3 linked regions of the Cricetulus griseus genome follow. The protein of the gene in region 2 binds, or shares a complex with, the protein of the main gene of each other region. Links are inferred from orthologs where the notes say so. Each region holds a gene or a part of one and is shown on either strand. Other genes may lie near its edges.

The links.
Region 1: the proteins of Rasa1 (region 2) and Arhgap35 are in contact, whole or in part, in a crystal structure (PDB 8DGQ), measured with the Homo sapiens proteins. The link is inferred for Cricetulus griseus from reciprocal best matches to the Homo sapiens genes RASA1 and ARHGAP35. Residues at the interface, in NP_002881.1 of Homo sapiens: Arg188, Arg207, Ser209, Arg211, Val217, Asn228, His229, Phe230, Arg231, Ile241, Gly242, Tyr256, Leu262, Leu263, Lys264, Lys358, Ser379, Asp380, Asn381, Ser387, Gln397, Arg398, Phe399, Lys400, Met411, Gly412, Gly413, Arg414, His425, Tyr426; in NP_004482.4 of Homo sapiens: Ser1085, Asp1086, Tyr1087, Ala1088, Glu1089, Pro1090, Met1091, Asp1092, Ala1093, Val1094, Val1095, Arg1098, Glu1100, Asn1103, Ile1104, Tyr1105, Ser1106, Val1107, Pro1108, His1109.
Region 3: the proteins of Rasa1 (region 2) and Hras are in contact, whole or in part, in a crystal structure (PDB 8BOS), measured with the Homo sapiens proteins. The link is inferred for Cricetulus griseus from reciprocal best matches to the Homo sapiens genes RASA1 and HRAS. Residues at the interface, in NP_002881.1 of Homo sapiens: Gly746, Arg749, Glu783, Thr785, Thr786, Arg789, Ala790, Thr791, Glu799, Lys803, Ser833, Arg894, Gly898, Phe901, Leu902, Arg903, Cys906, Pro907, Leu910, Asn911, Met914, Arg928, Ile931, Ala934, Lys935, Gln938, Asn939, Asn942, Val944, Ala948; in NP_001123914.1 of Homo sapiens: Gly12, Gly13, Ser17, Ile21, Gln25, Asp30, Glu31, Tyr32, Asp33, Pro34, Thr35, Ile36, Glu37, Asp38, Ser39, Tyr40, Arg41, Gln61, Glu62, Glu63, Tyr64, Ala66, Met67, Lys88, Lys117.

Annotation. Positions count from the first base shown.
Region 1 is NC_048602.1:11,211,427-11,220,856, reverse strand, and holds part of Arhgap35 (rho GTPase-activating protein 35), read left to right. Parts: intron 1-2,910; 5' UTR 2,911-3,104; coding exon 3,105-6,785; intron 6,786-9,430.
Region 2 is NC_048595.1:305,206,009-305,215,438, reverse strand, and holds part of Rasa1 (ras GTPase-activating protein 1), read left to right. Parts: intron 1-1,325; coding exon 1,326-1,483; intron 1,484-1,826; coding exon 1,827-1,903; intron 1,904-2,976; coding exon 2,977-3,149; intron 3,150-3,574; coding exon 3,575-3,734; intron 3,735-4,205; coding exon 4,206-4,348; intron 4,349-5,476; coding exon 5,477-5,592; intron 5,593-6,569; coding exon 6,570-6,656; intron 6,657-8,279; coding exon 8,280-8,347; intron 8,348-9,430. UniProt on the Homo sapiens protein: Inhibitory regulator of the Ras-cyclic AMP pathway. Stimulates the GTPase of normal but not oncogenic Ras p21; this stimulation may be further increased in the presence of NCK1.
Region 3 is NC_048596.1:59,989,529-59,999,410, forward strand, and holds Hras (GTPase HRas), read left to right. Parts: upstream 1-3,966; 5' UTR 3,967-4,041; coding exon 4,042-4,120; intron 4,121-4,991; coding exon 4,992-5,143; intron 5,144-5,330; coding exon 5,331-5,509; intron 5,510-5,642; coding exon 5,643-5,802; intron 5,803-5,896; coding exon of another isoform or gene 5,897-5,978; intron 5,979-6,462; coding exon 6,463-6,582; 3' UTR 6,583-6,588; exon of another isoform or gene 6,589-6,705; 3' UTR 6,706-7,004; downstream 7,005-9,882. Other genes in the region: Lrrc56 (leucine-rich repeat-containing protein 56), read right to left, coding at 726-902. UniProt on the Homo sapiens protein: Involved in the activation of Ras protein signal transduction. Ras proteins bind GDP/GTP and possess intrinsic GTPase activity.

The sequences.
Region 1 (9,430 bases), on a different chromosome or scaffold from region 2:
CTCCCCCATTGATCACTAATTAAGAAAAAGACTTACAGCCAAATCTTAGGGACATATTTTTCTCAGATGCAGTTTCCTCCTTTTGGATAACTCTAGCTTGTGTCAAGTTGACATCAAACTAGCCAACACACATACTTTAATTCAGTTGTACCTATTAACATGTTTTTTTCATCTGCAATTGGTTTGTTTTGAAGGTTCTCACATGACCCATGTTGGCCCAGAGCTGGCTTTGGCTGTGACCTTGCATAGCCAGAGCTTCTGCCTGCACCTCTCGGGTGTTAGGATTACAGGCAGGCACTACCACTTCCAGTTATATGGGGTGACGATTAAACCCAGGTTTTCCTTCTTACTAGGCAAGCGCTACTAACTGAGCACAGCCCTAGTCCTTCGTTGGCATTCTTACTCTTTCTCAAACAGATTTTTGTTTCCTGAATATTTATATTCATTTTGGCTTATTCCCACCCTCAAAATGCTTCAGTAAGGCTACTCTAAAAGCAAAGATACTTGATCTCAGTATAGCCGTCTACTTCATAAACATTTGTATTGAGGATTTTTCTGATTTACTCTTCCTTGTCAAGTGTTTTATCATTGATCTTCATTCCCTCACTCAATTAATTTTATTGTGTAAAAGACATGTCATGTAACACAAAATTAGCATTACGCTTTCTTGTTCTGACAACTCTTAAGATAGAAACAGTCTGTTATGAATCGTTTTCAGAATCGATTGTATGCATTGTGTATGTGCACGTGTAAATGTGCTTATGTTCATGTATGCTGCAATATGCGTGTGTTGGGGTTACATATTCTTTGACAGGCATGGTGGCCAGCTCTCACTCTGTACTTCTCACCAGTGCTCATGGGGTTCTTTTGCACTAGGTTTTCTTCTACATTTTGTCGTTTTAGGTTTTTGATCCATTTAAAGTTGCTGTATGGTTGGTTGATTGTTCTTTTGTTTTATTTTTTGAGACAGGTTCTTATTTTGTAGTATTGGATACTCTGAAACTCGCTATGTGAACCAAGCTGACCTTGGATTCACAGGTTTGCCTGCCTCCTAAGGGACTAAAAATGTGAACCACCACACACTGCTAGAGTTAGTTTTTGTTGTTGTTGTTGAATTGAATTTAGTGCCTATCGTGTGCTAGATAAGAACTCTTATATCTGAGTCACATCCCCAGCTCTAGGGTTAGCCTCTGTATATGATGTAGATAAAGACCTGCCTCTGTCCTTTCCTGTGTGAAGGCCCACTTTGCCCAGCACCAGCTGTTAAAAAGTCTGTCCTTTTGGGCTGGAGAGATAGCTCAGTGGTTAAGAGCACTGGCTGCTCTTTCAGAGGACCCAGGTTCCATTCCTAGCACCCACATGGCAGCTCACAATTCTCTATAGCTTCTGTTCCAGGCGATCTGACACCTTCACACCAATGCACGGAAAAAAAATAAATAAATAAATAAATAAATAAATAAATAAATAAATCAGTGTCATTTTCCCGATGACTGGTCCCAACAGCCTTGTGAAGTCATCTAGCCAGCCAGACATGTGGGATCTCTATGAGTTTGAAGCCAGCCTGGTTTACATAGTGAGCTCCAGGGCTACATAAGTAAGACTAAGACCCTGTCTCAAACCACACACACACACACACACACACACACACACACAAAGTCATTCAGTGACATATATGATTTAGCTGTGAGATTTCTGTTTCTTTTCCATTGGTCTATGTCTTTATGTCACTGCGGGACTGTTTTGATTGTTGAGGCTTTGAAGTGAATTTTGAAAGCAATATTGTGAGCCATCCAGAAAGCTTTATTCATTCCTTCCTCCTCCTCGTCTGTCTTCCCCCTTCCTTTCTGTAGCCAAGGCTACTCCTGAACTACTTGGCATTCCCTGCCTCAGTCTCCTGAGGGCTTCCATACCACACTGATAATGTGAATTTTGGTTGCCGAGTAAAGGTGTTGTCTGCCTTCTCCACTATAATTACTATTGAGGGCTTTTCTCTTCCTGATAATTAATAGGCAGTCTTAGGGCACTTGAGTTATCTGTCAACATCCTGCTCCTCAAGATTTCCCTGCATTTAACCTTCCATCATGACTCTCATCCGATCCAATTGTATGGGCTTTAGTTCATATTTTTTGCAGCGAGCTGTAATCCATTACAATTTTTTTGGTTCACAGATTATTCTAGACCTTACTTGTGGGATCCCCTTTAAGATAACACCATTGTCCTTGTGAAATGTCCCATTATTTTTATTTTTATTTGTACATCACATTTCTGGCTCAGCCAGGCATGGTGGGTGGCACACGCCTTTAATCCCAGCGCTTTCGGGACAGAGACAAGTGGATTCGAGCTCAAGTCCAAGACAGCAAGAACTATATCAAAAAAACTGCCTCAAAAACAAAACCACAAAAGACATTTCTTATATCCACCCTGCCTTGGAGTTAGCCACATTTCCTCCAGAGCCCTCACTTGCCACCTTAGCATTTTACAGTCTCCTTATTTATGTCTTCCTGTCTTGCAGTAGACTATACCTGTTGGAAAGCACATAGATATTAGCCTTTTGGTTATTGTCATTATCATTGTACATGGTATGTGTGTGCGCCCCGTCCTGTACAGGCATACATGTGCCATAACAGCATGTGTGTGGGCCTCAGAGGACAACTTTGGGGAATTGGTTTTTTCCTTTCTTGTTGGGATTCAGGAATTGAACGTGAGTTGTCAGGCTTCCACAGCAAACACCTGCTGTACCCTCTGAACAGTCTCAACAACTCTGATGTCAGCCTTAATCATTTCACTCAGCATAAGGCCTGGCACACTAGGTTTACTAAGTATTTGTTGGATTAAAAATCCTTTTATTGTAATTCGGTGGTTAAAATAGAGTTTGGATACTGATGATTTTTCTTTCCCGCCTCCATCTAGGCAGACATGTTGGCTATTTGGCGATGAGAAGTAGCAAGAACTGACATCATACTGGTTTACAACACTATGGGACCTGACACTTGTGCTGCTTGGGCAGCCGGCCTCCATTGGCACTGCTGAGAAGCCCTCTCAACTCTACTGCAGAACACTAATCTGATCTCGGAAGTAGCTGATTGTGGCAGGATGTTTCGAAGATGATGATGGCAAGAAAGCAAGATGTTCGAATCCCCACCTACAACATCAGCGTGGTGGGATTGTCCGGGACTGAGAAGGAGAAAGGCCAGTGCGGCATTGGGAAGTCTTGTCTGTGTAACCGCTTCGTGCGCCCAAGTGCCGATGATTTTCACCTGGACCACACTTCTGTCCTCAGCACTAGTGACTTTGGTGGGCGGGTGGTCAATAATGACCACTTTCTCTACTGGGGAGAAGTTAGCCGCTCCCTGGAGGACTGTGTGGAATGTAAGATGCACATTGTGGAGCAGACTGAGTTCATTGATGATCAGACTTTTCAACCTCATCGAAGCACGGCCCTGCAGCCCTACATCAAGAGAGCTGCGGCCACCAAGCTCGCATCAGCTGAAAAACTCATGTATTTTTGCACTGACCAGCTGGGGCTGGAGCAGGACTTTGAGCAGAAGCAGATGCCCGATGGAAAGCTGCTGGTCGACGGTTTCCTTCTGGGCATCGATGTTAGCAGGGGCATGAACAGGAACTTCGATGACCAGCTCAAGTTTGTTTCTAATCTCTACAATCAGCTTGCAAAAACAAAAAAGCCCATAGTGGTGGTCCTGACTAAGTGTGACGAGGGTGTTGAGCGGTACATTAGAGATGCACATACTTTTGCCTTAAGCAAAAAGAACCTCCAGGTTGTAGAGACCTCGGCAAGATCCAATGTGAATGTGGACTTGGCTTTCAGTACTTTAGTGCAACTCATTGATAAGAGTCGAGGGAAGACAAAAATCATTCCTTACTTTGAAGCTCTCAAGCAACAGAGTCAGCAAATAGCTACAGCAAAGGACAAGTATGAGTGGTTGGTGAGCCGCATTGTGAAAAACCACAATGAGAACTGGCTGAATGTCAGCCGAAAGATGCAGGCCTCCCCTGAGTACCAGGACTACGTCTACCTGGAAGGGACACAAAAGGCCAAGAAGCTCTTCCTGCAGCACATCCACCGCCTCAAGCATGAGCATATTGAGCGCCGCAGAAAGCTATACCTGGCAGCCCTGCCGTTGGCTTTTGAAGCCCTCATCCCTAACCTAGATGAAGTAGACCACCTGAGCTGCATTAAAGCCAAAAAGCTCTTAGAGACCAAGCCTGAGTTCTTAAAGTGGTTTGTTGTGCTTGAAGAGACCCCATGGGACGCCACCAGCCACATTGACAACATGGAAAATGAGCGGATTCCCTTTGACTTGATGGATACTGTCCCTGCCGAGCAGCTGTATGAGACCCACTTGGAGAAGCTGAGGAATGAGAGGAAGAGAGCTGAGATGCGAAAGGCATTCAAAGAAAACCTGGAGACCTCTCCTTTCATAACTCCCGGGAAACCTTGGGAAGAGGCTCGTAGTTTTATTATGAATGAAGACTTTTACCAGTGGCTGGAGGAGTCTGTGTACATGGACATCTACGGCAAGCACCAGAAGCAGATTATAGACCGAGCAAAGGAAGAGTTCCAGGAGTTGCTTTTGGAGTACTCAGAATTGTTTTATGAGCTGGAGCTGGATGCCAAACCCAGCAAGGAAAAGATGGGTGTCATCCAGGATGTTTTGGGGGAAGAGCAGCGATTTAAGGCATTGCAGAAGCTCCAAGCAGAGCGTGATGCCCTCATTCTGAAGCACATTCATTTTGTGTACCACCCCACGAAGGAGACATGCCCCAGCTGCCCAGCTTGTGTGGATGCTAAGATAGAGCACCTGATTAGTTGTCGCTTCATCAGACCATCCGATAGGAATCAGAAAAACTCTCTGTCTGACCCCAGTATTGATAGGATCAATTTGGTTATCTTAGGCAAAGATGGCCTTGCCCGAGAGTTAGCCAATGAAATTAGAGCTCTTTGTACAAATGATGACAAATATGTGATAGACGGTAAAATGTATGAGCTGTCCCTGAGGCCAATAGAGGGGAATGTCAGGCTTCCTGTGAACTCTTTCCAGACACCAACCTTCCAACCCCATGGCTGCCTCTGCCTTTACAATTCAAAGGAGTCACTGTCCTACGTGGTGGAGAGTATAGAGAAGAGCAGAGAGTCCACGCTAGGCAGGCGGGATAATCACTTAGTTCACCTCCCCTTGACCTTAATTCTAGTTAACAAGAGAGGGGACACAAGTGGAGAGACTCTGCACAGCTTAATACAACAAGGCCAGCAGATTGCTAGCAAACTGCAGTGTGTCTTTCTGGACCCTGCTTCTGCTGGCATTGGTTACGGACGCAACATTAACGAGAAGCAGATCAGTCAAGTTCTGAAGGGACTCCTGGATTCTAAGCGCAACTTAAACCTGGTCAGCTCCACTGCTAGTATCAAGGACTTGGCTGATGTGGACCTTCGAATTGTCATGTGTCTGATGTGTGGTGATCCCTTTAGTGCAGATGACATACTCTCTCCTGTCCTGCAGTCCCAAACCTGTAAATCTTCCCACTGTGGGAGCAGCAACTCTGTTTTACTTGAACTTCCGATTGGACTACACAAGAAGCGCATTGAGCTGTCTGTTCTTTCGTACCATTCCTCGTTCAGCATCCGAAAGAGCCGCTTGGTTCATGGGTACATTGTTTTTTATTCAGCCAAGCGTAAGGCCTCCTTGGCAATGTTACGTGCCTTTCTTTGTGAAGTGCAGGATATTATTCCCATCCAGCTTGTTGCACTCACTGATGGCGCTATAGATGTCCTGGACAATGACTTAAGTCGAGAGCAGCTGACAGAGGGGGAGGAAATTGCACAAGAAATTGATGGCAGGTTCACAGGCATCCCTTGTAGCCAACCCCAGCATAAACTTGAGATCTTTCACCCCTTTTTTAAAGACGTGGTGGAGAAAAAGAACATAATCGAGGCCACGCACATGTACGACAATGTTGCTGAGGCCTGCAGCACCACTGAAGAAGTGTTCAACTCCCCCAGGGCTGGGTCACCACTCTGCAACTCAAACTTGCAGGACTCAGAAGAAGACGTGGAGCCTCCATCATACCACCTGTTTCGGGAAGATGCGACAGTGCCCTCCCTGTCCAAAGACCATTCCAAGTTCTCTATGGAGCTGGAGGGAAATGACGGGCTGTCTTTCATAATGAGCAACTTTGAGAGTAAATTGAACAACAAAGTACCTCCACCAGTCAAACCAAAGCCTCCTGTCCATTTTGAGATCACAAAAGATCTGTCCTACTTAGACCAAGGCCATCGGGAGGGACAGAGGAAGTCTGTGTCTTCTAGCCCCTGGCTGCCTCAGGACGGGTTTGATCCTTCTGACTACGCAGAGCCAATGGATGCCGTGGTCAAGCCAAGGAATGAGGAAGAAAACATCTATTCTGTGCCCCATGACAGCACCCAGGGCAAGATCATCACCATCCGGAACATCAACAAAGCCCAGTCCAATGGCAGTGGCAATGGTTCTGACAGTGAAATGGACACGAGCTCTCTAGAGCGAGGCCGCAAGGTATCCGCCGTGAGTAAGCCTGTGCTGTACAGGACGAGATGCACCCGGCTGGGGCGGTTTGCTAGTTACCGCACTAGCTTCAGTGTGGGGAGTGATGATGAGCTGGGACCCATCCGGAAGAAAGAGGAGGATCAGGCATCGCAGGGCTATAAAGGGGACAATGCTGTCATTCCATATGAAACAGATGAGGACCCCAGGAGGAGGAATATCCTTCGAAGTCTAAGGAGGAACACCAAGGTAAGACCTCATTTAGGATGAGTCAGTAGGGATTTGCACAGCGTCTTGGTGAGATTTGATTGATGACAACTATTCAGGGACAACATGGTTTTAAACACACACTGGATGTGAGCGCATGTAAGCACGAGAGTGCAATTATTTTTTGGCTCTGTGGTAAGAGCCAGCCTGTGCATTAGATATCCCCTACTGGTAGGTCTCATGTAGTTAGCACTTGGATAGGTATCCTAGGTTTGCCTTTGCCTAGAACAGTAATTACCCAAATGAGCAGGTAGTGTAGAGCTCTTCAGTGTCTTGACAAGTGGCCAAGCCAGTGACACGGGTACTATTTCCTCTCTTAAAGATTGTAGATTTGCACCCCTTGGCCTGAACATACATCATCTTTATGGTTCTCAAATGCTGCTATCCCATGCTAATCACAAAAGGGTGCTTCGTTTTACATCAGCGAGAAGTGGATCGTTCTCTGCACACACAAATCTGTGAAAGTGCTGAAATGGCAAAAAAGAAAGGGGGGGGGGCCTCAGCATGGAGTTTATCCATATTTGTAAAATGAGATTTTTTGTTGTTGTTGTTTTGGTTTTTTTTTTTTTTTTTTTTTTTGGTTTTTCGAGACAGGGTTTCTCTGTGTAGCTTTGGAGCCTATCCTGGCACTCGCTCTGGAGACCAGGCTGGTCTCGAATTCACAGAGATCCTCCTGCCTCTGCCTCCCGAGTGCTGGGATTAAAGGCGTGTGCCACCAACACCCAGCTGTAAAATGAGATTTCACATGTCCCTTTCTTCATCTGTCTGCAGTTACTTCTTCCATTAGTGAGTCTCTGTACTTCAGGGAGCACAGGTATAACAGAGACAGGGAAGGAAGACCTTATAGTAGTGTTTTACATGTCAATAGGGGAGGAAATGTATTTTCTTGCTGAAGACTACAGCTTGGTGTTTGCAAGGCAGATTGCTAGAGACAGCGCCCTGTCCTCTTAGGTCTAGGCACTGAGGCAGGGAAAGTATCACCCAACTCCCCCTCCCCTCGCCGTTTGTAGTGGTGCAGTACTGTTCTGAGAATGACAGCTTGCTGAGATTCTGATAGGGATATAATAACCTATGGTCAGCAGTATAGACAGGATGGTGCTCGCTCTGCTTCCTGCCAGGAAACAGCAGAGATGAGTCGCTCACATGAGGCTTTACAAGGACCTTGGAGGGGAGTTGCTAGAAATGAATTCCATATCAAAGGTATCTGGAGTGTGCTACGGAGTACTGAGAGGTAGCAGAGAGGCCACTGTGGTAGCCCAGGGCCCTGGGAGGTGGAGGAACATGACGCCATTGGACCCTTGGGCATATAGGGTGTTCCTCAGTCACTACTGGCCAGGGTTTCCATGCCTTCTTGTCTGTGCACTGTCAGGAGGTCAGAGCTGTGTTGTGTGGGTTCTGTGCCCCTATCTCAGGTCACTACATTCTTTCCATTTAGTTTTCCCACAGCTTGTCTGTCTTGCATTTTGTTCTTCAGAACATGGAGGGAAGACCCAGTGAAAATTGTCCTTATTTAGGAAGCTCACCGACCTCCCTGTGTTTTCCCCACGCTCTCCTGTTTGATGAGAATGAATCTGAGCATTTGGAACATTTTGGCTTTCTTCCACCTCCAGTCCTGGTAAAAACAGTTGCTGGAGCAGCTTATGTGAATGCTGACAGTCTTCTGATTCGTGGGGGTGTTTGCACACCTGGGAATTAGGAAGGTGCCGTAATAGCACACTGAATTAAAAGTCTTTTTCTGACTTCTGGCAATATTTGCAATGCTGCAAATGATGCTTTGAAAACACATTGCCAGACTAGGGATGTAGCTCAGTTGATAGAGAGTGTGCCAAGCCTTTGGGAAGTACTGGGTTCCAATCCCAGCACCACATAAGATCAAGTGTGCCAGAGGCAGTCGGGTCTACAGAGTGAGCTCAGGACAGCTAGGACTGTTACACAGAGAAACCCTATCTTGAAGAAACAAACAAACAAAACCAAGGGTGGTGGTGCACGTCTATAATCCCAGCAGTCAAGAGGTAGACAGGTGGATCCTACCAAACCTAAGGCCAGCCTGGAACCTTTCTCAAAACAATCAAAATAAATAATTATTTAAAAATTGCCAAATAAGACATGATTTCTAGATCTCACTGTGGCAAAGGCTTTATTCAGTAGAAGCAGCTAGTCTCTGCGTCTTGAGCTGTCTCCCTGCTGGGCACCAGACATGTACTGTCCCCCGTCCCCGTCCCCGTCCCCCCAACTACTGGATCAGCAGGCAAGACGTAGGAGCTTCCAGCCTGTCTGAGTTATGCAGACCACGCCTCTCCAAATCAGACAAATGATTCCTTTGGCCCAAAAACTGTGGCGTGCCAGCAGTCATTTTAGGAGTTATCCTTAGGGAAGAATTGGTAGAAGCTGGCATTGTGTTTTCCTGACTTGGAGAGTGGTGTTTTGGAATGAGCAGGGCTGCTTTGTCATCCCTGCAGAGAAGATGAAAGCCTTTGCCACAGAGCAAGCCTCCTGTTCAGACTGCTACCATCGGGAATGCAGACTGACACTTGTTTTACTGGAAGAGTGAGATACCATCAGGGCAGAGAGTGCAAGCCACCCTCCGTGGGGGATTTGTCCTTTGATTTTTATTGGCATGACAAAGC
Region 2 (9,430 bases):
GTAAACAGTCTTATTTTCATATCACTTTGCTCTTTTTTTCTATACATGCTGTTTTGTCAACGTTTCTTAAAACTAGAAAAACTTAGTCTTTCAAGCATTTTATACCCTTGCTTGACTTGATAGTAGATTGCTTTGTGAAAGAGTTCTTTATATTTGTACTCTGCTTCCTAGTCTACTGTGCCAACTTGAAAAAAAATAGATTGTTTTTCTGCTTACAATTCAAAAGCAGTAAAAGAAACTTATTTTGTGTATTGAGTTCTTGCTTGGAAAAATAGGTAGAATGAAATGTACTTCTGAAGAGTTAATCAAATTCACAGGAGTATCCTGTTTATTTTTGAGACTGAATACACAATTTTTAGGAACTAGCCAATCTTATTAAAATCTAAACCTTGTGTATACTTTTGTTAATAGGAAGTTAATCTAGGTTGCTTTATGTATATATATACTGCATTATGACATTTTTAAAATCGTTTTTATTGTTAGAGATAGGAGTTGTCTGTAGCCTAGGCTGAGTTCAGACTTTCAGTAATCCTCCTGCACCAGTGTCCTGAATGCTAGGATAACAAGTGTGAACCACCACAACTGACTTATCCCTTATTTATTGGCCATCACATCTTTTGTTGCATTAAAATTATCCCTAGATAATTGGATGTAGTTGAGCTCTAATATGGTTCGAATTTTGAAGAAAGTTAAGACATTGTATATTTATGGAGCAAAATGACCCCTATTAATGGATATTTCAGTAAGCTTGTTGTATTTAACTGGAAGTGTAAAAACAGTCGTTCTTAGGTAACTACATACTATCCGTAACATAAATTCTGGTCTTTGTTGCAAGGACATGTAATACACACACATTTAATAAATAGAAGTTGTCACATATCTTTGTACACATATAACACATCTTGAGCCTCTTTGATACGTCCGTTAATCTGCAGTGGGTTTAAGGATGGTTGCCAATCCTTTACACAGCATGTAGTCTTCTACATTTTACATGAAAGAAAAGCAAGGATCAGATACTGACTTGTTTGTTGGAAGTAGGAAGTAGATGGATAGTTCTAGCACCTATACTGGTAATACATTAGTTTCTCAGAATGTGTCTTTTCTGTAGCAACAGATCATAAAATCAGTGTCTTAAGAACATCTTAGCCTGTACTCCTTTAGAGTAGTAAAATCTTCATAAGCATACATTGATATTTGGAGTTTTGAAATGGATGGTGACAGGTGATTAGCAAAGTTTGTTTTTTGAAATACTAAGAAACAAATCACTATTTTTGTTTATATACAGGTCTTGAAAGGTTGGTTATGAATTTCTGTGTTCTCTTTAGGTCAGCAGCCTTGTTTTACATATTGAAGAAGCCCACAAACTCCCAGTAAAACACTTTACTAATCCATATTGTAACATCTACTTGAATAGCGTCCAAGTAGCAAAAACTCATGCAAGGGAGGGGCAAAACCCAGTATGGTCAGAGGAGTTTGTCTTTGAGTAAGTCATATTTTATCATATTCAATCTATTTTTTAGAGTCATATTTCCTCCTGCTGTTTACATATAAATTACCTAAGATCCTGTTTGTCAGGTGTTTTAATAGTATTTTTTGTTGGGTTTGCTCATCTTTATTAATAAAATGCCTTTGGATTACTGAAAAGTATTGACAAAATGTGTTCTATATTTTCTAGATCTTGTTTTAATTGGTTATTAGTGGCTTAAGAAGTTTAAGATTACTGGGGAAATGTAGTTATCAAGTATTCTTGTCTAACTGGTTATATAAAGCTGGTATTAAATGTAACACACTAAATTTTTAACTAATTTTTTTCCTTCTTTCTTTAGTGATCTTCCTCCTGATATCAATAGATTTGAAATCACACTCAGTAATAAAACAAAGAAAAGCAAAGATCCAGATATCTGTAAGTTGATTAAAAAAGCTTTCTAAAGTAATGAAAGCATGTTGTGTGTATTTTTAGAATTTATAAATGAAATGTCTTAAGATGGAGATGAAAAACATGCTGTGCAGTCTACTATTGACTGTTCAGAGGAGACTATTAAAGTATATGTACTATAAACCTTATAATTTGAAATATACAAATCTACTTTCCCTTCTCCCAAAGAATAGGAGAAGAAACTGGTAGTGGTGATCATTTTTCGTTCTCTTTCCTTTTTTATCTTCCCCTAATTTCCTACACTTCAAATATTAAAGGTTCCATTCAGACTAGAGATGTAGCTCCATGGTAGAGTATTTGTCTGGTATGTAGTGGCCTGGAGACTAATCCCCAGCCCTGCAAATTAAAAAGATAGGATGTTTAGCTGTGCTATTTTTTTTCTGTTGTAATATCCAATACTCTGTTCCTATTCTGAGAAGCACACTTCTTGTCCTGTTGGTAGGACAGATGGCAGTGGGATTTAGTGATTTTTATCATGGTGAATTAGGTTAATGCCTTCTTACAACTGAGGCTTTTGGGGTAAGCAGTGATATGTACTGACAAATCAAAACCTGAAGCTCTCTGAAAAAAATGTTTATTCTGTAATTGCTTATATTTTTAAGTGTTTTTCCAATACTTGTATGATAAAAATCCCAGTTTTTTAGAACAGAAAGAAAGCCATACTTTCTATTTGGATTGTGGTCTTTATTGCTCTACCTTTTTTACCTACCTACCTAATCAATTCACAGGTTCCTTTTTTGGAATTGATTTTTAATGTATCTTTGTATTATCCAGGGTTGTAGCACTTACACTGCATCCTCTTTGACAGCTTAAGACATTCTCCATGCACGTCAGACACCATGTCTTAATCATTTCTTAACTCCAGATCCCCAGCCTATGACAGAATGTAATGTAGCAGGTCTAGTAAATGAAAAAAATAACCAAACCAGTTAAGTGTTTTGTGATGTTATTGAAACTTGGTTAATGAAAAGCTTTTAACACCATAGAAAACTGTATTGAGAAAATGTAATTGTATGAACATAGTGGTTTTTCTTTTGTAGTATTTATGCGTTGCCAGTTGAGCAGGTTACAAAAAGGACATGCCACAGATGAATGGTTTCTTCTCAGCTCCCATATACCACTAAAGGGCATTGAACCAGGATCCCTGCGTGTTCGAGCACGATACTCTATGGAAAAAATCATGCCAGAAGAAGAGTACAGTGAATTTAAAGAGGTATTACATTAAATATAAATGTTATTTTTTTGCTTGTTTTCGAGACAGGGTTTCTCTGTTGTTGCTTTGGAGGTTGTCCTGGAACTTACTCTGTAGACCAGGCTGGCCTCTTACAGAGATCCGCCTGCCTCTGCCTCCCAAGTTCTGGGATTAAAGGCGTGCACCACCAACACAAATGTTAACTATTTAATAAGAATCCATAAAGCTAAATAGTAGCGTCCTAGATTAGTAGCATGCTAGTAGCCAGAGGTAAAAAAAACATGTAGTGTGATTTTGATCCTATAAGGCTAGAAATATATAGGCTACAAACTTACTCCATTATTAACTATTGCATTCAGTAGATGGTATTCTTTCATCATCCCATTGGTGTCCAATGATACATAATGCTACATACTTTCAGCAATCTTTTTTGATGTCATTTTTAGCTTATACTACAAAAGGAACTTCATGTAGTCTATGCTTTATCACATGTATGTGGACAAGACCGAACACTACTAGCCAGCATCCTACTGAAGATTTTTCTTCATGAAAAGCTTGAATCGTTGTTGTTATGCACACTAAATGACAGAGAGATAAGTATGGAAGGTAATATATGGATGTGTGTGATATTCTTAAAAATATAAAAATGTTTGATTTTTATGTACCAAACGTGGGCTCTGTCTTTAAGTGTATTAAACTTGCTAAATCATTTTACAAATTAGTATCTGAGATTCTTTGTTTATTATGGGAATGGGTTGCTATTTCTAATTCTCTCATGGCAGATTAAATACTAGAAGCTGTAAGAAAATGATTTCTTTAACCAGACTCAATGTGTGATTATCATAGGATTTATCATATTACCTCAGTTTTTACTTAGCAGTCTATGAAATATCACCCCTATTTTATTTCTAGACTTATAGCAGTCCGAGGCTAAGGTACATTATCACTGCTTTTCACAGCTTCCTAATGTATTTATTTCTCCTCATCGATATTTATGTAAAAAGTACATTACTGAAGAAAAATAATTTCCAACAGTACAGTTCTGTTAATGTAATCTGACATCCATTTTTTGTGTAGATGAAGCCACTACCCTATTTCGAGCTACAACACTTGCTAGTACCTTGATGGAGCAGTATATGAAAGCCACTGCCACACAATTTGTTCACCATGCTTTGAAAGACTCCATTTTAAAGATAATGGAAAGCAAACAGTCATGTGAGGTAAGAATTTGTTGTTTTAATCTTTGCAGCAATAACACATTTTAATGAGAACTTTTAACAAATTATAGTTCCAAGAAAGTACATTTCTAGAATTTGTGAATGTAGTTATGCCCTCTATAATAGATTTATAACCCCCCCACCCCACAGCTCTTTTGGCATTTCTCCTAATTTCTACTATTATTGATCAAGTGTACCTTATTTAAGAAAAGGTAAACAAACTGAACATTTTTCTAGGGCCTTTGTTGTACATGTTGTATTAAAAAAGCTATTTTGGGACGATAGTATACACAATAAGGTATCTTTAAGATGAAACATAAGTCTAAGCATGAAATACATTTGTGACTGAAGTTCATTTTACATGAGTTCTAGGAGGCTTGTGTTATGATTTTGGCTCATCATGTGAAGTCAGATGTGGAATTTCCCATTTGTAGTGCCATGTTGACACCCATGTCACACCTAAGGATGCTTGCCTTGTAAAATGTAACATCTTTTCCTTAGAGGGCTCTATGGGTAGTTTTGTAGAAGATCAGGATTAAAAGAAAATGAAATAATCTTTTGAAGATGATTAAGTTTCAGTGTGAGTTTATATGCAACCATACAGTCATAAATCATGCTTACATAACTATTCTATTTCATGGATGCTACAGAGCAATTACAAAGGAAGGTAGTTTACATGTTTAGGCTTGCTGGATACAGTGTTAGTAAAATAAGGAAATAACTTTTGTTAACAATTGGAGCTGTCAATAGGTAATCCCATTATTACTTACTATGAAAATTGACAAAAGCTGATGAAAGTCCTTCAGATTTGTAGTTACCTCTGGCAGATCGGAACACATAGATTGGGGGTGGGGTGAACTTGAAAAGTTCTGAGAAAGGTTCACCATCCTACTTAAACATTTTGACTATTTTCCTTAGCCCCTACTTTGAACCTCATTAAAAAGTTTTGTTTTATTTTCCCTGAGATAAGTAGAACTGAGTAGATTAACTGGGAATGGGTGTTAAGCAAACCTATTGAATTTGAGTGTGGAACAGTTGACAGCTTGGAAAAAAATAACTGCTTGTTTACCACAATTTATCTGAAGCTATCATCACCAAAATGAATTTGTATTGGTTTGTTCCTTCCTGCAGTTAAGTCCATCAAAGTTAGAAAAGAATGAAGATGTGAACACTAATTTAGCACACCTATTGAACATACTTTCAGAGCTTGTGGAGAAAATATTCATGGCTTCAGAAATACTCCCACCGTAAGTTGTCAAATTGTTTGCAAAAAAAAACCTGACTAATGTGTGTTTTCTAAGTTTTCTTTTAATGAATGCTTTCTTTGATATAATCAGGTTTTTAATACTTAAACGATGGATTATGAACTTTGTGCGAGTGGTGCGTGCCTTTAATCCCAGCACTTGGGAGGCAAGAGTAGGCAAATTTCTGAGTTTGAGACTAGCCTGGTCTACATAGTAAGTTCCAAGACAGCCAGGGTTACACAGAGAAACCGTGTGAACCCCCCCCCCAAAAAAAAAAGATGAATTATGTTTAAGGAAAAAAGAGTAAACAAGTGAAATAACTGCTAAAGCAGCCTGAGTAAAATAGAGATAATGTAGTACCTGCCTATATTCCCAGTATTGGAGTGTAGGCCAGCTCCTGTCTCCAAAACCGGAAAATAAAAACATATACATTTACAAATTAAACTATTTTTATATGGACTGAGTAAGTTTGGCTTATATTGTAGCTTAGGGAGTGAAAGAATAATGAGTCAGATCTGAGGACAATATCTGTAAATCTAGTTTCTAGTCTTGCCTAACATTAGATACCCAGGAAACAAAAAACAAAGTCAAATAGGTACACAAGATACCAGTGTCATGTCTGCTTACAAGTCAGTATGAATAAACTCACTTGTTTAGATGGAAGAAGTCAAAATAATAGAACACGTGCCACATTAATTCCTCTGTATTTCATGTCTAATAACTTGTTTTATACTTTTCATTAACACAGAAATTAAAATCAATGGAGCCAAACTTACTGTATTATGTTTCTACACCTCTTACTAAATGTCCCTCTCGTTAGTTTTGGCAAAATACCTTTTTGAGATGAACAGGTCAAATGGTATACTGGTTGGGTAGATTACATATGGTATACTGGTTGGGTAGATTAAAATTTTGGTTGCCAGTAGATTATCATTATGATATTTACTTTCTGTATTGAGATGTTTATGTTATTTTGGCAGGACACTGAGATATATTTATGGGTGTTTACAGAAATCTGTTCAGCGTAAGTGGCCTACAAATAACACCATGAGAACAAGAGTTGTTAGGTAAGAGTCACTCTTTCATTTGTCATAGTCATTGTATGCAGCACACACTGATTTGTGTATGTAGGCAGAGATAGAGGAATTAGTGCTTGGAAAAGTGCAGTAGTTGAACCATCTAGGTTTTAATTGTCTTTTAACATCTTTAATACCAGGCTAATCTCCAATCATACCGTCTAGTTCTGAAGCTCTCATCTAGTCTGTTTATCACATTAGAAACTGCTTTGGCAGCTAATGAAATTTGAGAGCTCATATATGGACTTAAGCAAATTTAGTTAAGTTAGGAACCAAACAGAAGAACCAAAGCAAAACTCCTAAGACCACCCAATATGATTGTTGTTCAAGGATTTTGTTAAACATATCTCAGCCACTACAAAGTGACTAGAAATTTAGTAGAAATGTATCAAATACAGTTTTCTAGTAATTTTGGAAAGTACATATTACCAGTCACTTCACATGTGTTTTTACATTTATAATGTCAATTTTGTTAGCAGGCTTCTACTTTTCTTGCAGACAGAATTTCTATTAGTGGCTTAAGGGCATAGCCCTGAGATAAGGCACTAGGTTAACACTAAGAGGGCCTGGATTTGATTCTACCCTAAATAAAACTCTACACTAAGACACACTGAAGAACTGTAGGAAGAAAGAAAAATTAAAACATGCTATTTAAGCTGTTGTGTGATGGACATTTAAACTGTTCTGTTAAACTAATACAACAGGGAATCTGCTAATTGGATTTAATGTGACAAGGTGCTTTAAAAGTTATTCATACCTAAAGTCAATTTCTCTTCCTTAGTTTTAAATTGTGTAGCAGTCATGTAATTTAATTTAAAATCACCTTAAAGTTGAGAAATATTTTCTCACTATTTAATGGTTCATTAATTGCCAGTTCAGATTTCTAGTTAAGTATTAAAATACTTTAAGTAAACCTTAAGTATTAAAATACTTTAAGTAAACCTTATCTAGGAGACTTCTTTAAGAAGAAATATAAAAAAGGTTAAGTTATTAATTTCTGTAAGTAATTATAGAAGGAATTTTATAAACTGTGAGGACTAATGCTTGTCAAGGTTAATTATTAACAACATATACTTAATACTACTGACTGAAAAAGGCAGAGGAGGATATCCTTATGAGCTTACATTAATGATAGAACTTTCAAGTGTTTGTTGTGTGCATTGTAATTTGTCAAGGACTCATTAATTGTTACAGTGTATTCCAATATTTATAACTTGTCAGCAATATTGATACAACTATCTTAATTCATTAAATAAACTTTGAAAGACAAGCAAGAAAGTAGGTAATTTGGAACCTTATAGAACTGTTACTGATATGTAAAATGTGTATTCAAATCCTCATAATCTTGTAGCTGTTCTCAGTGTTTTAATATACTGATTCCTCTAACAACAACAACAACAACAAAAAATCCAAATTACTAATCTTCAATAAGCAGCTAAGAGAGTAAGTGCAAGGTTACTTCCAAAGGAAATTTGAAATTATGGTTGCCTTAACAGCTTTCTTAATGACTTTATCTGGCTTCCTCAAGTTGAAAATAAACATGGTTCTAAGTTTAATTTTTATATGTTTGCATTTTAAACATAGTTTTCTAAAACAATTTTCCCTTTCAATTAGTGGTTTTGTTTTTCTTCGGCTTATCTGCCCTGCTATCCTGAGTCCTCGGATGTTTAATATCATTTCAGGTAATTACCTTTTAGTACACTTTGGAATGGGAAAAGCTTCAGTACTGTTATTAAAAAAAAAAAATACTTGCACTTTAAGTCAGAATTTAAAAAACTAAGACACAAATAAAGGGCACTAAAGCACTATTCCCTGCTTTTTTATTCTTTTAATATCAAAGATGTTAGATTTTTTTTTCTGGCCTTGTGACTTTTATTTAAAAAGTTTGCATTATATTTTTTAAGCACATAAGTGTATGCGTACAGGCATTTGCTTGTCATGATACGTATACAGGGGTCAGAGAACAACTTCTGGGAGATGATTGTCTTTTCACTGTGTGAGTGGCTAGCATTCAAATCAGGCCACCAGGCTTGGTAGCACTGAGATACCTTGCTGGCTCTTGCACTCCCAGTGTTTGCAGGTTAGGAAGTCCTCCTGTCCATTATGGAAGTTTTCAGATTTGTAAACTTAAGAAAATTATAATATCATAATGAGCCAATCAATATTAATGGAAGGAAACGATCATTTTTATACTAATAATTTGAAGCTCAAAGCTGTATTAAAAATGATTTGAGCTGGGAATGTATTATGTAGTCACAGAACTTAGGAGGCTAAGGCACAAAGAACAGTCAAGGCAAGCCTAGACTACTTAGCTAAACCATGTCACTCAGCACAATGGTATGAACCCACATGCAGAAAGTTGTCTGAAAGAGTTCCCTGGATCTTCAAAACAAACAAAAGACCCCATTTTTTCAACCTTATTTCATACTCATCACATTCCTCTAATTTTCATTACTACTGAAGTGATTAAATACATGCATATTAAGAATAAAAGACTGGGGCTGGTGACATGTGTCAGTAGTTAAGAAAACCAACATCCTTGTCAGGTGGCTCATAACCGACAAATCTATAGCTCCAAGGCATCAGACACCCTTGCACATACCGTAGCTACATACAAATACATATAATTTTTTTTTAAGAAAATTGAATGAAAGGCTTAGATTTTGTTCTGAGAGTTCTACCCAAACAGTGGCTTAAACTGCCACTTCAACAGTATTTAAACTTGAGTTAAATTTTTACAGTATACTCTAAACAGCCAGAATATT
Region 3 (9,882 bases), on a different chromosome or scaffold from region 2:
GACCTTCTTGTATACGAAATGCAAGTATGGTCTCTTAGGACCCTGGGTCACAACTGCTATGGCATCAGGGGACACTTTGGGAAACATATGAAGGTTCTGGACTAGCAGGCTAAATAGTTATTCTGAGGAGATCCTGGGTGATACCATCTATCAAGATTCTCACCTTCATAGTGGCAAACCATGAATGGGTGGCAAACTCTAAGTCCTGGGAGCTTCAGGGTTGCCAAGATGGACTCTCCAAATCCTTAGGACTCAGGGATGGGGTATACCAACAGGCTCTCACACTGGGTTTGGAGGAAAGTCTTTACCTGCTGCCAATATAGTCAGCATACAAAGGACAGATCCTACCTCAGGCAGGTTGAGAGGAGACTGAAGAACTCTAGCCTTGAGTGGGGAGCCATACGCCATCACCATCATCAGCTTCCCTTCCAGCATCCCAATATGCCACCTCCTAGTCTTCCCTGCTGCAACATCAGCTCTTGAGTAAGAGACTTCTTGTCTGCTTGAGCACAGGCCTCAGCCAATAGTTACAGAACCCTGGCCCAACAGTGCCATCTGTGATCTCAATGCCTGGGGATGCTTGTGTCACTTGGGTTGCTGGCAGGGACCCCAATGGTGGAAAGGTAGGGGGTACCTAGCGGAGGGAAAGCTGGATATCAGCAGAAAGGGTGCCAGTATGTCACCTCATGCAGACCCATGGCGGAGCCTCAGGCCCAATCACTTACCAGCCGAGCAGGGGAAAGGTGCTCCTTCACCCGCCGCTCCCTGTGGATATCCCCATGGCTGCCCAGTCTCTTGTTTTGTGGGCAGGGGTTGTTTAGGCCCTGCCAGCTCAGCTCCCGTACCCGGATGCTAGCTGTGCCTGGCCGAGGCCCCTGGGATCCATCCCAGGCTGGGTCCATCTACATCCAACCTGTTAGGAGAGGCAGAGGGCCAAATCTCCTAGTTTACAAGGCTCTAGTTCACATCAATGGCCCACAAAGCTGCTAGGTCAATCTCCCCACATCCCAGCCTGACTTGGCCTGGCCTGAGGGGCCCTGGGCAACCTCAGTGGTCTAGATAACTGGACAGCACCTGTCCACTTCCCTACTTTCAGCTGAAACTTCCTGCTTATGCTAACAACTTCTCTCCCTTTGCTTCTGTAGTTTGGAAAAAAAAAGAGATGTACTTATCCATTTTATAATTTGTGTGTGTATATGTTAATTGTTAGTGTGTGTGCATATGTGTATATGTGGAGGCCAGAGGACAACTTTGGGTGCCATTCCTCAGATGCCCTCCTCCTTTTTTTTTTTTTTTTTTTTTTTTGAGATAAGGTCTCTCACTGGACTGTGGCTCACCAAATAGGCTAAACTGGCGTGCCAGCAAGTCCCAAGCACCTACCTGTCTGTCTCCCCAGTGCTGTGATTACAATCTCACACTACCATGCCTGACATCCTATATGTGAGTTCTGGGGATCAAACTCAGGTCTTCATGCTTACAAGGCAAGCAATTTACTGTCTGAGCTATCTCCCTATTCCTTTATTTGTTTCTGTATTTGTTTTCCACAGTGTCCATGCAATGAGTACTGGCTCCAGGCTTTGCCATCTTGGGCCTCATAAAAGCTGTGTATTGGGGCTGGAAAGATAGCTCCATGGTTAACAGCATATGGCTGCTTTTGCAGAGGTCCTGTGTTTGATTCCTAGCATCCATACTGGGTAGCTCACAAATGCCTGTAACCAAGGGATGGATCAGCTGCCCTCTTCTGGCCTCTGAGGGCTCTTGTACTCTGTGGTACACACATACACTCACACACATGATAAAGAATATTTTTTTTTAAGGCTGTAAGACTAGGGACACTGGGCAAGATGTCTGTATCGACCAGCAGCCACCCACCTGTAACTGACAGTTCCCCAGGCTGCCCCAGACCCTGGCTCTAGATCTTTCTTCATTAATGGTCTCTTAAATCTAGGTTCAGGCTTAAGATAGCAGACATTCCCTCCAACACCCCCTTCTCTGATTGAGGTCCCACCTGCAGGTAGCTGGCTCCTGCTGTAGGTCAAACATCCGGGCAAGGGGGCCACATGTGTCTACATGTAATACCTGTAAGAGAGAGTTAGATTAGCTTCCTGGCTATGTCACTGTGCTTGGTCTGTAGACCTGGACTGAGCTGGCCAATGTCAGCTCAGAAGCAAGTAGGTACAGGAATGGAGTGCTATTAGCTGGGGGCCTGGTCCTGAATCCCTTGTAACCATTTTAATGGGGGATAAGGTTTAGATGATGACAACGACAGTCAAGGGTCCTTCTGGGTCACCCAATGCAAACTAAGACACGGTCCTCATCCAAACTCTGCTGCTTCTTCAACTCCTAAAGGGGTGTGTGGTTCTGAATCTTCTGTAGGCCCGCCTCTCCTGAGCTCCTCCCCATACCTCTGGAGGAGTTTTTTCAGGTGCCTCTATACCTCTGGCAACAGGCTCACCTACTGTTTCTCCTTAAAGATACAGAGGTCTGTGTTTGGCTTCAGACCTTGAACTCAACAGTCTTTGGGCTGTAGTGAGAACTCTGCCCAGAACATTCTTCTTGGTCACCATCCCGTCGTCCCTGACCTCCATCCAGGTTTGGCCGACCTCTAACTCCTGCACTTCTTACCTGTCTTTCCCAGATACATTTTTGTAGTAAGAGTTACCTCTTTCCACTGCACTTCATGGTTTATTGCTTACTCAGTCCAGTGTGTCTTGCCCCAAAAGATGTAGGCCCCACTCCAGGTTTCCCCTAGCACAAGGGACATGAAGAGGCAGCTCTCACCTGAGGGGTGGGCCAGGATGCCCGAGACCAGGGGCCCAGCCCTGGACCCCTCCACCAAGGCGGTCGCTCTCTCAAGTGAGGGTTTTTTTTATTTTTTCCTCCGCGGTGGGGTTGCGGCCCTGGCGCCATGGCAACGGGGGCGGGGCCTCATTTGAATACCCAAATATTCGTGAGCCGCGGGCATCCGGGGCTGCGGCAGGATGAGCCCCGCCCCCTAGCAACGGTTGCCGGGACACGCGGCAGATCCGGTGGCAGGGTTCCCCTGAGTGGCAGGCAAGCGAGACGGATGAGAAGACGCCCACAGAGGTTCGGAGAGTTGCCCGTGAGAGGTTTCTGTCCCGCTCTGGGTTATCTGACTGCTGGCCGCATCGGCCGAGCCTAGCTCTCACCCCGGGATACACGTGAGCGCGCGTCCCCAGGCCTGCATCACCTGAGAAAGCCCTGTCGGTTTTCTAAGGAGGACGTTCTTACTCGTTTCTTTGAAATTTTCAAAAAGTTGCAAACATGTCATTTGCGTCTGACACAGATGTACCCTACTTGCATGAGTGGATGGAACATTTCATTTCGCCCTAATACCAACTTTTCTGACTTCCGGGGTCGTTCTTCAAATGGGGCACAGTATGAGCTGCTGCAGGGTTGGGACCTCGAGTTTTGGGGGAGGTAAGGGAGGGTCTTCTCCAAAGCACAAGGAGCGCGGTGTGATGGGCCGATGCTGCCTCGGGATGGGGCCTTCGCTACACCTCGGCCTCCGAGAACAGGCAGCTTGGGGTTCCGGCGGGTTCTGCCTTCCTCTGGTATCCCGCGTCCGCGGTGCTGACTGTCCCCGACGCCAGGTCCCGGTCGGAATGACCTTTCCGCTCCCAGGGCCTTTGGGCCTCTGGAGCGGCTGCAGAGTGTGGGCTCTGTGGCAGGCCCCGCGACCCAACCCGAGCGTACCCCAGTTTCTCTCCGGAGGAATCTCGGGTTCCCTCATTCTCTTCCGCACCTCGGAACTAGGCGTCACTCATTTGAGTGCAGTACCCAGGTCGCGACAGCGCTCTCTCTGCTACTCCAGGAAGCCCCGCCTAGCTGCGGCTCCTGACGGATGGGTCGCTCAGCCAACCACAACAGGTCGCGGTGAGGCGGAGCTCGACCAATCACCGACTGTCTAGAGTTGACGGACGGGGCGGAGCGGGGCGGGGCGAGCGCGGGCCCGGCCGAGTCCCCGCCGTCCGCGCCCGGCGCCCGCAGCCCGAGCCGCACCCGCCGCGGACGGAGCTCATGCGCGGCCCAGCCAGCGCCGGTCCGCGCCCCCACCCTGCCCCGGCCCCGGCCCCGGGGGCAGTCACTCCAGCAAGCGGTGAGTGCGGGCGTGGGGTGGGGCGCGGGGCGCAGGTGATCGGTGCTTCCCCTCTCCTCTCACCCCGGCAGCGTGCCTAGCGCCCGGCTGCCCGCCTCTGCGGCCCGGCCCGGCCCGCCCCGCCTGTAGCCGCCCTCCCGGCGAGGCGCCGCCCGGGCCTCCGGAGACTCTGCGCCCCGCGGCCATCACGCTCCGGCCTCGGGGCTACAAGGACACCCGCTTCAGGCCCCAATCAGGGCCTTCTGTTCCCCAGTCACCCCTCGCGCCCCTTGTGAGTCTTTCCCGCAGTCACCTGCTTCCCACACCCTCAGCCGCTTTTCCACCCCTGCTTGCTGAAGGCTCCCTGGCCTCTTGTGGAAGGTCTGTCTCAGCGGAGGGCAGGGTCCCTCTCCAGCCACCCTTCCCCCGCTGCCCGGACCGCGCCTGGCATGCAGTAGGCGCTCAGTAAATACTTGTCGGTTGCACCCACATGCCGGCGGGCCGGAGCCGGTTGTAGGCTGGCACTGGCCTGCCTGGGCACGCTGAGTCCGCCGTGGCAGGACCTGTTTTTGGGGGGTGGCCTCAGCCCTCAGGCACCTCCCGTTGAGGCTTTCTGCCTACCTAGCGACTTCTAATTTGGGTGCGTGGTTGGGAGAAGCTCTCAGCTGTCAGCCCTGCCTTGGGGGCCTCTCCCTGCTTCCTCACACAGCCATTAAGTGCTGGTGGAGGAGGTGGGGGGCCTCCCTGTCCCAGCTGGAGGTGCCACAGGTGAGTGACTGGGCCACTGTGGTGGCTGGCCTGCCTGCTCAATGCTGGTTAGGGCCTTTGGGTCAGGCATCTACTAGCAGTCTCAAGTGGCCCGGGCCTGGATAAGTGTGGCTCTCATTGGCAGGTGGGGCAGGAGCTCCTGGAGTGGCAGCCTCTATAGAAGCGATGACAGAATACAAGCTCGTGGTGGTGGGCGCTGGAGGCGTGGGAAAGAGTGCCCTGACCATCCAGCTGATCCAGAACCATTTTGTGGACGAGTATGACCCCACCATAGAGGTGAGCTCTGGCTACCTGGCTCTGGCAGTGGTCATGGAAGAGTCAGGAAGGCCCACATAGCTAGGTCTTGCAGGTGGTATGGGTCTGCTGCCACCTAATCTATCAGAACATGAGAGGTGCAAGGGTGGGTGGGCTCTGTGGATTCTCTGAGGAGAGGTGGAACGCCTAAGCTCTGTTTTTTTTACAGGACTCCTACCGGAAACAGGTGGTCATTGATGGGGAGACATGTCTGCTGGACATCTTAGACACAGCAGGTCAAGAGGAGTATAGTGCCATGAGGGACCAGTACATGCGCACAGGGGAGGGCTTCCTCTGTGTGTTTGCCATCAACAACACCAAGTCCTTTGAAGACATCCATCAGTACAGGTGAGCCACCTATGGCTAGCACAGGTGAGGAAGGTTCCATGTGCACACTGAGGGTTTATGTCTTCTGAGTGTCCTGGGTACAGCCATGCCTGTAACCTGCTAGCTGGCTCACATACTCCCCATCCCCTTCCAGGGAGCAGATCAAGCGGGTGAAAGACTCAGACGATGTGCCAATGGTGCTGGTGGGGAACAAATGTGACCTGGCTGCTCGAACTGTTGAGTCTCGGCAGGCCCAGGACCTTGCCCGCAGCTATGGCATCCCCTACATTGAAACATCAGCCAAGACCCGGCAGGTGAGCTTGCTCCCCACTCCATAGCTAGTCAGGGATTCACCCCACCCCACCCCAGCCAGGGAGCAGAGCTCATCGCCCCTCTCCCTCAACACAGGGCAGCCGCTCTGGCTCTGGCTCCAGCTCCGGGACCCTCTGGGACCCCCCCGGGACCCATGTGACCCAGCGGCCCCCATGCTGTAAGTCTCCCAGACGGCAGGGCTGTGAGGGAGGCAAGGGCCAGGGTCTGGGCTTATGCCCTGCAGTTCTGGGTTGACACAGCGCCAGGGCAGGAGGGGGTCCATGGAGAGAGCTGCCCTGAGCCAGGCCGGAGCGGTGACCCAGGAGCCTAGTCCTTCTTGTCCTCATAGTGTCCTATGAGTACCTGTTAGTTTTGAGCCCTAAGTATGGGCAGGGTGTTCAGACCTGAGCCATACTGGGGGTCTGGGAGAGTTCTGAGTCGAGTTGCTCTGAAGGATATTCCAGAGTGAGCCTACTTAAGGAGAGTGGTCCTGTGCCTTTTAGATGTGCAGAGCCCAGCTCCCTATTTGTGTTGGTTGTGCAGCCGAGGAAGGGTTGTTTTCCAGGGTTGGGGTGTTACCTGATCCAGGCAGGGAGTTTCTTACCCAAACAGCACCCCTTTCCTCCTTGGAGTCCCCTCTGATCCAGTCCCTCTGTTCCCAGGGTGTGGAGGATGCCTTCTACACACTAGTACGTGAGATTCGGCAGCATAAACTACGGAAGCTGAACCCACCCGATGAGAGTGGCCCTGGCTGCATGAGCTGCAAGTGTGTGCTATCCTGACACCAGGTGAGGCAGGGACCAGCAGACATCTGGGGCAGTGGCCCCAGCTAGCCAGATGAACTTCATATCCACTCTGATGTCCCTGCTCCCCCCCATCCTGCCAATCTCCCTGCCTGAGGTCAGTGGTGTCCTTTGTGCCCGTCCCGGCACAGGCTCAGGACGTGGAGGTGCCGGATGCAGGGAGGAGGTGCAGACGGAAGGAAGGAAAGAGAAGGGAAGGAAGGAAGGAAGCGATGCTGGAGCCAGTCCAGTCCAGGGATGGTGGACAGAGGTGACCAAGACCTTCGCATGGACAATTGGAACAGACTGTGTCATGAACTGTCCCTATTGCCACTGGCACCCCAGTCCTCAACCCCTCTCAGTTCCCTTCGGGTGCCTATGGGGCACAGGTTGAATTACAGTAAATTATTTGATGGTCTTGACTTGTCTCTGGCTGGGAGCAGGAGGTGTAGTGCCTGTGGCCTCACAGAAGATACTGGGAACCTGAGATTCATCATCTGCCTTCTTCCTGTTTCTGAGAAGAGGATGGGGTGGCTAGCCTGGGACCCTGGACTGTATGGTCCTTCCCTTCTGCCTGCCCCAGCTGTCTTGTGTTTCCTGCAGAAAGCTATATGCAACACAAGAATAATCAGGTGATCTAAAGAGTGACCTATTGTCCTTTAACTAATGGGAGGAGGAGGGCTTAAGAGTAAGGGGGCATCTCTTGTCTCCAGCAGGAAACACATTTCCTGCATTCTGGGATCCATGAAGTATAGCCCCAAGGATTGCAGAGTGTAAGACCTGCCCCGCCCCAGTATCCTGCAGCCCCCTGACCAGTGATAGAGATTCTAGGACTCTGAAAATAGGACCTCAGTGTTTTCTGTGTGGCCTCAGACTTCTGTCCCATCAGTGCCTAAAGCCTAGCAATCTCAACTCCCTGAGAGGGTAGAAGCTGCCTTACCAGTTCCTACCACCTCTCCAGTGTGTACAGATGTTCTCCAAGTCACCTGTATGGTCTTGAGAGACACATGCCGGTCAGGTAGCTGCTCACTGCTCCCAAAGGGTGTGCCATGCCCAGGGCCTCATTCTAGCACTGGTCATGGCTACAGGAGGGCCCATCTCCTTATCCTGGTCCTCATCCTGCCTGCTGGGTCCCTTGGTGTGTGCACTTTACTCTCTCAAGTGGAAATGGGTGAACTCCTCTTTTGGAGGACACTTGCAATATAAGGAAGCTCCTCTAGGCAAAATATAGGGGCTGCTGCTGAGTGGTTAGGCAGTGGGACACCATGCTTGCCCTCTTCCACAAGAGCCAAATGTTCAGCTTCCCTGTCCATGTGTATTTGAGGCTCCTGAGGTATCATCTGGGGCTTCAGTGGCTCCTTTGGAGCCATGTTGGCCATGCAGGTGGGTTGAGGACAAGGCCTGCTATGCCAGTGGTTGTCTTTGGCCCTGTTTGGGGGTTTTTAGTAGGTTGGACATTCTGGGCTATGATTGTAAGGGTGGACAGGAGCTTAGTGTTCCTGCTGGAAGCAGTATGATGGAATCAGGGGCAGAGCTCATGGGGCCTAGACATGCCTGTCCTGGGAAGGGACCTCAAACTGGAGCTAATATGGGAAGAATGTCACATTCTGTCCTTCAAAACTCCACAATGGAGGCCTGAAGGTACTTTAGCATTGTGTGGTTCAGCCTGAAGCAGCATGTGCTAGAGAGAGACTTCGGAGGTTATTCAAAGGTATGAAGTTCGACTTTGGGCTGGACCCTGGAAAAAGGTTATTGTCCATGTCCTGCCTGTGCCCAGGTCCATCTTGCTAAGGCTACTGTACCTTTCTGTTTCTAACTCTGGTCTTGTTTTCTACATAAGACTACAACTAAAGAGAGATCCTGCCAGGAAAGCACCCTCAACTCTTAACTGTGGTATGGGGGCTGGGCTTAGGGCTTGGGACAATGCCTTGCCCCCTGCTCAGCTGACAACATCTGGTCTGGCCCACTCTTTGTGGTTGGCTCACTCAGGCCTGGAGAGGTAGACAAATGGTTGTTTTGAGTGTGGCCCACACCTAGTCAAGGTCTGTATTGGATACCTGAGAAGTGACTTCCATGTACCTTGAAGGGTGTTTTTGTGCCATGGTCATGACCACAACCTCATCCTCCAGGTGTGACCCTGGGGTGATAAGGGGCTTACCAAGACTCAAGAGTTTCCCTGGTTCTCCTGCTCTGGCCAGTTCTGCCAATGGCACTGGTTCAAACTCTGATGTGTGCTGTGGCTTCTGTGGCAGGAAGGCAGGAGGTCTAGGGCCTAGCTCATCTGTTGGATATGGGCTCTCCTGGCCTTCTTAGAAGGCAGGGGAGTTTCTGGTGCAGTCACACCCCTAGGCTGGAAAACTGGCCCTGTGCCTGTCTGCACTTCATTGCTATAACACTACAGGAGCCCTGGACAGTCCGTGTCTCTCACTGTCCTGATAGAGGAATGGAGTTCCTCTGGAACCCCTGCTCATAATGGCCCTCAAACCTCTCTATCCCAGATCCAGCCCAGTGCCTCCCTTATACCTTTTTACCTCATTCTCATAAGCTGGGAGCCAAAAGGCAGTGGCTGGAACCATATGTGGAATCCTGAGAGCCTATAACCTACAAATAGAGCTTATTCCAGAGGGGTCGAGCCATAGGTTGAAGATAGTAGCAGGTGTCCCAGGAACCTGAGGCTTCCCCTCAATCCACTCAGTCCCCATTATGCAGTTGCTGCCTCAGAAAAGGAAGAAAGAACACCCACACAAATCCCAGCTAGCCTTGCTGCCTTGCTATGCCCTGGTTCCTGACAGGCAGGCTAGCCTTTGAGGCCAAGGAAAGACGATGACAGATAAGATTGTTTTTTTTGTTTTTTTGTTTTTTTTGGGGGGGGGGGTTCGAGACAGGGTTTCTCTGTGTAGCTTTGGAGCCTATCCTGGCACTCGCTCTGGAGACCAGGCTGGCCTTGAACTCACAGAGATCCGCCTGCCTCTGCCTCCCGAGTGCTGGGATTAAAGGCGTGCGCCACCAATGCCCGCTCGGCTGGCATATAAGATTTAAGCAGCCTATTGGGCTCATGAAGCTAGTAGGGGACAGGGAGAGGGATGGAGGTGTGTGGCTGCCTGTTGGGCTCAGGATCAGGAGAGGATATGGATAAGTTGATGCTGTCACCTGGATTTTGGCCATAGATGGTGAGAGCTGCAGAATAAAAGGCTGGAATATATCACCTGGTTTGCTTATGCATAGAGGGATCTTGACTGATAAGGGATATGAGTGGGTCCTTTGACAGCCCTGGGACTACCTACAACAGACAGTCCAGTG